Mus musculus: one gene and its partner. The protein of the gene in region 2 purifies or fractionates together with the protein of the main gene of each other region. This does not show direct contact. Links are inferred from orthologs where the notes say so. Each region holds a gene or a part of one and is shown on either strand. Other genes may lie near its edges.

Region 1 (3,819 bases), on a different chromosome or scaffold from region 2:
ATGCCCTCAATCATGTCATTTTCTTCTTCATCACTGTCATCAGCATTTTCTAAGAAATTGAATGTCTCGAGAACATCACCAGGGGGCCTGTAGAAAAGAGAAAAGATGATTCCAACTATTTCAAAGATTGACTCTGGTATTTCTTCCTGCTTTCTATTCCTATACCCTTCTTGTTATCTAGTGATACTACAAATTGAACCCAGGATGTCACACATGCTAGACAAGTGTTAAATCAATAATCCACATTCTGACCCTTCTAATTCCTAGTTTAAAACTACTTGAAGGTGGCATCTGCAATTCAAACACAACCTAATTTTTTGTTGTTGTGAGACAAGATCTTACATAATTCAGATTAGTCTCAACTCATTATGTTGATGAAAATAACCTTTAACTCCTGATCCTCCTTTCCCAGTAGGCTCCTGGTTCAAGATACCTTAATTATAATATAGTGCCTAAAACTTTTATTCTAGAGTATCTTTAAAGATTATTTGTGCTCTATAATTAAAATAAGGATTGTTCTGTGTTTAATAAGTTTCAACCAAAGCTTTTTGTCTACATTTTAGGTAAATGCTATAAGAAAATAAAATCTGGGGACGGAAAATGGCTCAGCAGGTAAGACTATAGGTAAGAGATCTTTCAGTAGACCTGAGTTTGGGTCCCAACACCCACATCAGGTGGCTTACAATGGTATGAACTTTGGCTCTAATGGATACAATGCCTTCTTTGAGCCTTTGCACGCACTTACAACTTATATGTACATAACCTCCCATCTCACACACACACACACCCCAGCATAATTAAAAATAAGTCTTTAAAAAGAAAAATAATCTACTAAGATTAAATGATCAAACATGCTATTATTTCTGAAAAATATTTAAAAAACAAGTTAGCAATTTTTTTAATATTTACAACCACTTATACTTTAGCCTAAATATTGGAAGGCTAAATAGTAAAACACAAAAGCTAAATTTATTAGAACTGCCCATATTTAAAATTATAAAGCATATATTACACAAGATATACCACTCTGGGGAGCAGAGGAAGTTCTGAGTAGATGTACGTTGTTGACATGAGCGATCCAGGCTTGGTGTGGTCATATGCATGATTTTGATCAACCCAGTGGTTGGGTGGCAGAAGCAGGAAGATCTTTGAGTTATAGGCCAGCCAGAGCCACCTAAAGAACCTTGTCTCAAAAATACAAAAAGAAAAAAAAAAAGACCCGAGTGACTAAACCTCAGCCCCATGGGGGTTGCAAACCCTTTACAGGATGAGGCTCAATGTGGTAGCAAAACCTTCCTCTGATCCAATTGTGAATGCTAACAGTTTGTGTAGAAATGCCCATAGTAGCTTTCTAACCCCCAAACCCAGAAATGAAGGTCCTGAAGACTGCTCGCTCCCCTGTGAGGACTGCTCCCCTGTGGGGACTGCTCCTTACCAAGACTAGCTAACCTCCTTATTCAGCTGTACACCATAACCCCCACTTCCTTGTTCAGTTTTATATAATAAACACACTAAGCTTTCTGGGTGATGTACTTCTCCATCAGAGTGTCCAGGAAGCCATCCCAGTTTTCCTGTGTATATGTGTCCAATGTCTGTAATTTCTTCATTCCCTTCCATTATCTAGTTAGGGTTCCTAAACCCGAGAGGTACCAATCCATCTTATAAATCTCCCCCCCCCCGACATTTTTTATTAGATATTTTCTTCATTTACATTTCAAATGCTATCCCAAAAGTTCCCTATACTCTCCCCCGCCCCGCTCCCCTACCCACTCACTCCCACTTCTTGGCCCTGGTGTTCCCCTATACTGAGGCATATAAAGTTTGCTAGACCAAGGGGCCTCTCTTCCCAATGATGGCTGACTAGGCCATCTTCTGATACATATGCAGCTAGAGACACAAGCTCTGGGGGATACTGGGTAGTTCATATTGTTGTTCCACCTATAGGGTTGCAGACCACTTCAGCTCCTTGAATACTTTCTCTAGCTCCTCCATTGGGGACCCTGTGTTCCATCCTATAGATGACTGTGAGCATCAATTTTTTTTATACAGCAAATAAGTATCTTTAATCTATTAAAATGTTTTCAAGTATTTCAAAACTACTCCAGTAACAGCTAATAACAATAATCTATTTTACTACTATATATAAAAAAGTGGCTTTGATAGATTCATTTAATATCTAACAATAAATGCAACTATAGAAAATATAGGGCTGGTGAGATGGCTCAGTGGGTTAGAGCACCCGACTGCTCTTCCGAAGGTCCAGAGTTCAAGTCCCAGCAACCACATGGTGGCTCACAACCATCCGTAACAAGATCTGACCCTCTCTTCTGGAGTGTCTGAGGACGGCTACAATGTACTTACATATAATAAATAAATAAATAAATCTTAAAAAAAAAAAAAAAAACCTGGCTCATCTTAAAAAAAAAAAAAAGGAAAGAAAATGAGACTACCAATGAAAAGCCACTGTTGTATCACTGATTTTGACTTCCATAAGTTAAATGATGTTAATCAACAAATACAAATCATACCTTTTGATTTCTTGTCCTTTTTGCTTAGGAGATTCACCACCATTCAAGATCTGTTCTAAATTCTTTGCTTCTACAGATCCATTTGGCTCTGAATTAGACAGTCCAAGTAATGACCTTACCCGTTGAGATCGTACATCTAATATTGTATCTGTGTATCCTACTTCCTGAAGATACCTATCAAGAGAAAATTAAATGCTAAAATTCAACATATTGTTAACATCTGCCACCTTCAAATCATATTAAAAATTAAAGAAAAAAAGCCACAATCACACAAATTAACTTTTTCTTTGTCTCAATAGCTTCGTTATAGCCTAATTCCAGGTCTAAGAGAATGATGTCAACTTTAAGTTCCAGGACATCCTATACCCTCCCCTCTGACTTATGTAGGCAATCAGCATATATGTGGTGCACATGTATACATCCAGACAAAACTCATATACATAAAACAATCTTTTTTAAAAAATGAATTAAGGCAGGTGTGGTGGTGCACACCTTTGATCCCAGTACTCAGGATGCAGAGGCAGCCTAATCTATAGGCGTTCCAGGATAGCCAGAGAATCCTGTCTTGAAGAGAGGAGAGGGAGGGGGAGGGGGAGGGGGAGGGGAAGGGGAGGGGAGAGAAGAGAAGAGAAGAGAAGAGAAGAGAAGAGAAGAGAAGAGAAGAGAAGAGAAGAGAAGAGAAGGGAAGAGGGAGGAGGGGAAGGGGAGGGGAGAGAAGAGAAGAGAAGAGAAAGGAAGAGGGAGGAGGGGAAGGGGAGGGGAGAGTATGACTAACTACCATTGAGTAAGAGCCAATTATCTCAATACCTAAAAAAGCCTCAGTGTTGAAACGTTTTTGAGATACATAAACACAGGTTACATGCCTTTATATAGACACATATAAGTATCTATTTAAAGAATAGATATGTAAATTTATACACATACATGTAAGCACAAATACACAATTTTCACATGTTCAAGGTATGTGAAAGAATAAGTTCTCAGCCAGGGATTGATAGATGGACTAATCCCCCCTCAAGGATCTCAGATTCCAGACCATTCCTCCAAAGTTCACTCATCTAAACCAAATACTTAATAGGCTATGACTTTAATTTCACCAGGGTTATCAGTAGGATACAAGTAGCAAAATTTCCAACTATAAGAAAAAGAACCTGGGCTGGAGAGATGACTCAGGGGTTAAGAGCACTGACTGCTCTGCCAGAGGTCCTGAGTTCAATTCCCAGCAACCACATGGTGGCTCACAACCATCTGTAATTGGATGGGATGCCCTCTTCTGGGGTGTCTGAAGACA
Region 2 (3,819 bases):
ACCTTTATCCAGAACAGCACATTATAAGCCCTGTGTAGTGGATCTTCAACTTTTCATCAGGATGCAGAAAAAATTGCTCCCAAATTCATTTTGCTTAGGACAGAGTCAAACAAAAAGCCAAACCGACTTATCCTGAAACTGTATTTTCCCTTCCATACACGAGTCCTTAAATTATATAGGGTTTAAATAATACAACATTGCTATCACAGAAGCACATTCTACACCTTCAACCTGAGGAGGCAGCAAGGTGACTGTGTTTCTGCACCACCCTCCTGTTAGGCCATAATAGATCACTGAAAACCAAAACCACCCTCAAACCATGGCAAAGCCCAGGTACTCACCAGCTGGCCAGCCAGCAGCGGCATGTACTCAATGATAGCCAGGCGGACCCTCCACTTGGCATCTTCAGCCAGTTCCACTATGGCCGGAAGGAGAGACTGAGAGAGCTGACGGATTCCAATCACTTCATTCACACAATCCAAATTGGAGATGATATTTAAACGAACTTCTGGACACTATAAACACACAAGCCCCAGAGACTACATGTGAAAATTAACTCTTTTGCCCAGTAGTCTCCTGGCATGAGAAAATAAAAAGTGCTAAGTAGAATTTCAAATTAAAAAGTACTAATCTGGGTGGTGGCGCACACCTTTAAACCCAGCACTTGGGCAGTGGAGGCAGGCAGATCTCTTGAGTTCAAGACCAGCCTGGTCTACAACGTGAGTTCCAGGACAGCCAGGGATACACAGATAGACTCCCATCTTAAAAAAAAACAAAAAAACAAAAACAAACAAACCAAAAAAAACAAGAAAGAAAGAAAAAGAGAGGAAGGAAGGAAGGAAGGAAAAAAGGAAAAGGAAAAGGAAAAGGAAAGGGAAAGGGAAAGGGAAAGGGAAAGGGAAAGGGAAAGGGAAAGGGAAAGGGAAAGGGAAAGGGAAAGGGAAAGGGAAAGGGAAAGGGAAAGGGAAAGAAAAAGAAAAGAAAAGAAAAGAAAAGAAAAGAAAAGAAAAGAAAAGAAAAGAAAAGGCTCAGGCTTTAAAAGGTGGGGGTAAGCTGTGGTGTGGCTGGGTAGGAAAGGCATTCGTCCATCCTGCAGAGCCCTGGACTCAACCACCAGAACTATAGAAAAGCTACTGCAGAAGGAAATCCTTAACACTAAGTGCACAGATACAATGTCACTGACCTTAGCCACACGTCAGTAAAAAGCCTGTACCATCCATCTACGGGAGATTGTACACTAAGTTAAAAAATCAATTAACAAATTGGCAGGCGAGATGGCTGAGCAGAAAGAGGGGCTTCCCTCACAAACCTAGCAGCCAGGATCCGATCCCCAGAACATGAGTTATCCCCAGAACATCCAACATAAAGTGGATGGAGAGAACGGACTCCACAGAGACAGCCTCTGAACTCTGTATGTGCACACAGTGTACGCTCGCTCACATAATAATAAAGATTTTCAGACTTTTAATTAATAAGTAAGCACAGAGTCTATGAGATGTAAAGGGCCCAGGCCCTGGGACTCAGCTCTGCCACTGCAGGGAGACCGCAGACATCTTACTCCCTGGTCTCTCCTTCCTCTACACCGGGAGGAACCAAGCCCAGAGCCCACTGCAGCAGTTACAGTTAATGACATATCCAAAGCTCTCAGACCATGCCTGGCACTACCTGTTACATTTTTATCCGAATGTATGTATTGTCTGTGTAACGTGCACATGTGCCCGTGTGTGTGTGTGTGTGTGTGTGTGTGTGTGTGTGTGTGTGTGTGTGTGTGTGTGTGTGTGCCCACAAAGGCCAGCAAGGGACCAGACCCTCTGGAGATGGAGTTATGAACAGTTGAGGGCCACTCAACATGGCCACCAGAACTGGAGCTCTAGTCCTCTACAAGCGACAGGCCTCCTAACTGCTGAGCCAAATCTCCAGCCACTAAATGTTAGTATCTGAAGCTACACTTTAAACTTAAATAAAAAGACACAGTTTAAGCAAAGATATATGAGCTTTAAATATAAGGAATCAGTGACTATAATATAAAACATTTAATAGGCATTTCTTGGATGGTTTTAAGACTTATTTCATGACTGTTTTGCATGAACATGTTTATGCACTATTTGTGTGCCTGGTGCCTGCGGGTGACCACAGAGGCATCAGATCCCTGAACTAGAGCCACTGACAGTTGAGGAACCCATGTGGGTTCTGGGAACCAAACCAAGAATGAGCCAGTGCTGTTTGCTACGAGGCTCCCTCCCTCTCCAGCTCCTCTTTTTTGGTTGTTTGGTTGATTCTGGTTTTAGAGACAGGGTTTCTCTGGGTAACCCTGACTGTCCTGGAACTTGACCTATGGACCAGGCTGGCCTTGAACTCAGAGATCCCCCTGCCTCAGCCTTCAGAGTGCTGGGATTAAAGGCATGCTCCACCACACCCAGTTGGTTTGTTTTTAGTTAGTCCTTGTGCCCATTTTTGGGGAAACCTGTAGCCCTACACCCAAACAGAAGGACTGTCAAATATCTAGACTATGATTTTCCCCATCTTTACACTTTGGGTCCTATTTTAGTAAAATCACCAAACCAAAGCTTTACAGTCCCTTTAGTCCCAGCACTTGGGAGACAGAGAGAGGCAGATGGATCTCTAAGTGCAAGGCCAGCCTGGTCTACAAAGCGACAAGTTCCAGGACAGCCAGGGCTACACAAAGAAATCCTGTCTCAGAAAACCCAAAAGAAAAAAAAAGAAACAAAATCATATCAAATCAATTATATCAAAGCAAAAGGATTCATACCCAGACTCACCTCGTCCTTTAACTGAGCTAAAAATAGAGGCAGAAGATGTTCAATGGTATTCTCTTTGCCCAAAACTGTAGATAATCCCATAATTACAGAAGCTAGCGCTGACTTGACATGTTGGTTGGTATCAGACACTAATTCCTAAAAGAGAATAAAAATTAAAGACAACAAAAGCCTCTACAGCACCTCCCGAGGAGTCCACAGCAGCACCAGCCAACAGCACAGCTGACCTGGCCGTCTGTAGTAACAGCTATGCGCCCACAAGCTCTACAGTGCAACGCGCACAAATCAACTCTAAACATTTGCACTAATGTTATTATGTATTTGATTAATTTATGCCTCTTCCTTCTTTAGATGCTAAGAGCTTCGTAGGTAGAGTAAACAAAATAAAATGAAGTCACATTCACCTTTATATAGGGCAGGATTTGATTCATAATTACAGTCTCTCTACCTTCAGCGGGCAGGTTCTCACAAAGCTCTGAAACAGAAACAGAAAAGGCAATGCTGTCAAGGAGCCAAAGACAATTACCCAGCTCTTCCCAACAGTCCAAGTTAAGTCAGTCTGAGCAAATAAAGTGTGGAGGGGCAGTAAGCCTGGTCCACACAGCACAGCCTGGAGGCCCTCCTGACCTAACCTATGGGACAGTCTGACGGTGCCACCTGCCATGCTGGTGCCATCCGTCTGCAGCATCTTATAAATCAAAACCATGCCAAACTTCCTAACACAACAAATGCATCAGCGTGGGCGGAAATGCTGCTGCGTGGACTCATCTCTCCCTGGTTTATGTTTTCGGTCCTAACCAAACCAAACTATAGCGAGCTGACACCACCAAAGTCAAAGGACCCCACGGCCAGTCTCACCTCTTACTTTGTGGGCAGCGGCTGCTCGGACTTCAGCTTCGCAGTCTCGGAGGAGGCTCTGGAAGGCGGGGATGAGGTCGCTGAGTGCAATCTTAGGGCCCACCGCTTTCTGGAGCTAGAAAACAATTTATACAGGTTTACTGTATACTAGCATAATAGTAAAAACAGAAAATAGTACAATCAT

The links.
Region 1: the proteins of Ppp2r1b (region 2) and Strn3 purify together in Homo sapiens (co-immunoprecipitation; 5 studies listed by BioGRID and IntAct, with this or other methods). This does not show direct contact. The link is inferred for Mus musculus from reciprocal best matches to the Homo sapiens genes PPP2R1B and STRN3.

The regions. Positions count from the first base shown.
Region 1 is NC_000078.6:51,650,144-51,653,962, forward strand, and holds part of Strn3 (striatin-3), read right to left. Parts: intron 2,703-3,819; coding exon 2,529-2,702; intron 88-2,528; coding exon 1-87. UniProt on the Homo sapiens protein: Calmodulin-binding scaffolding protein which is the center of the striatin-interacting phosphatase and kinase (STRIPAK) complexes.
Region 2 is NC_000075.6:50,866,759-50,870,577, reverse strand, and holds part of Ppp2r1b (serine/threonine-protein phosphatase 2A 65 kDa regulatory subunit A beta isoform), read right to left. Parts: intron 3,751-3,819; coding exon 3,636-3,750; intron 3,253-3,635; coding exon 3,182-3,252; intron 2,916-3,181; coding exon 2,781-2,915; intron 516-2,780; coding exon 342-515; intron 1-341. UniProt on the Homo sapiens protein: The PR65 subunit of protein phosphatase 2A serves as a scaffolding molecule to coordinate the assembly of the catalytic subunit and a variable regulatory B subunit.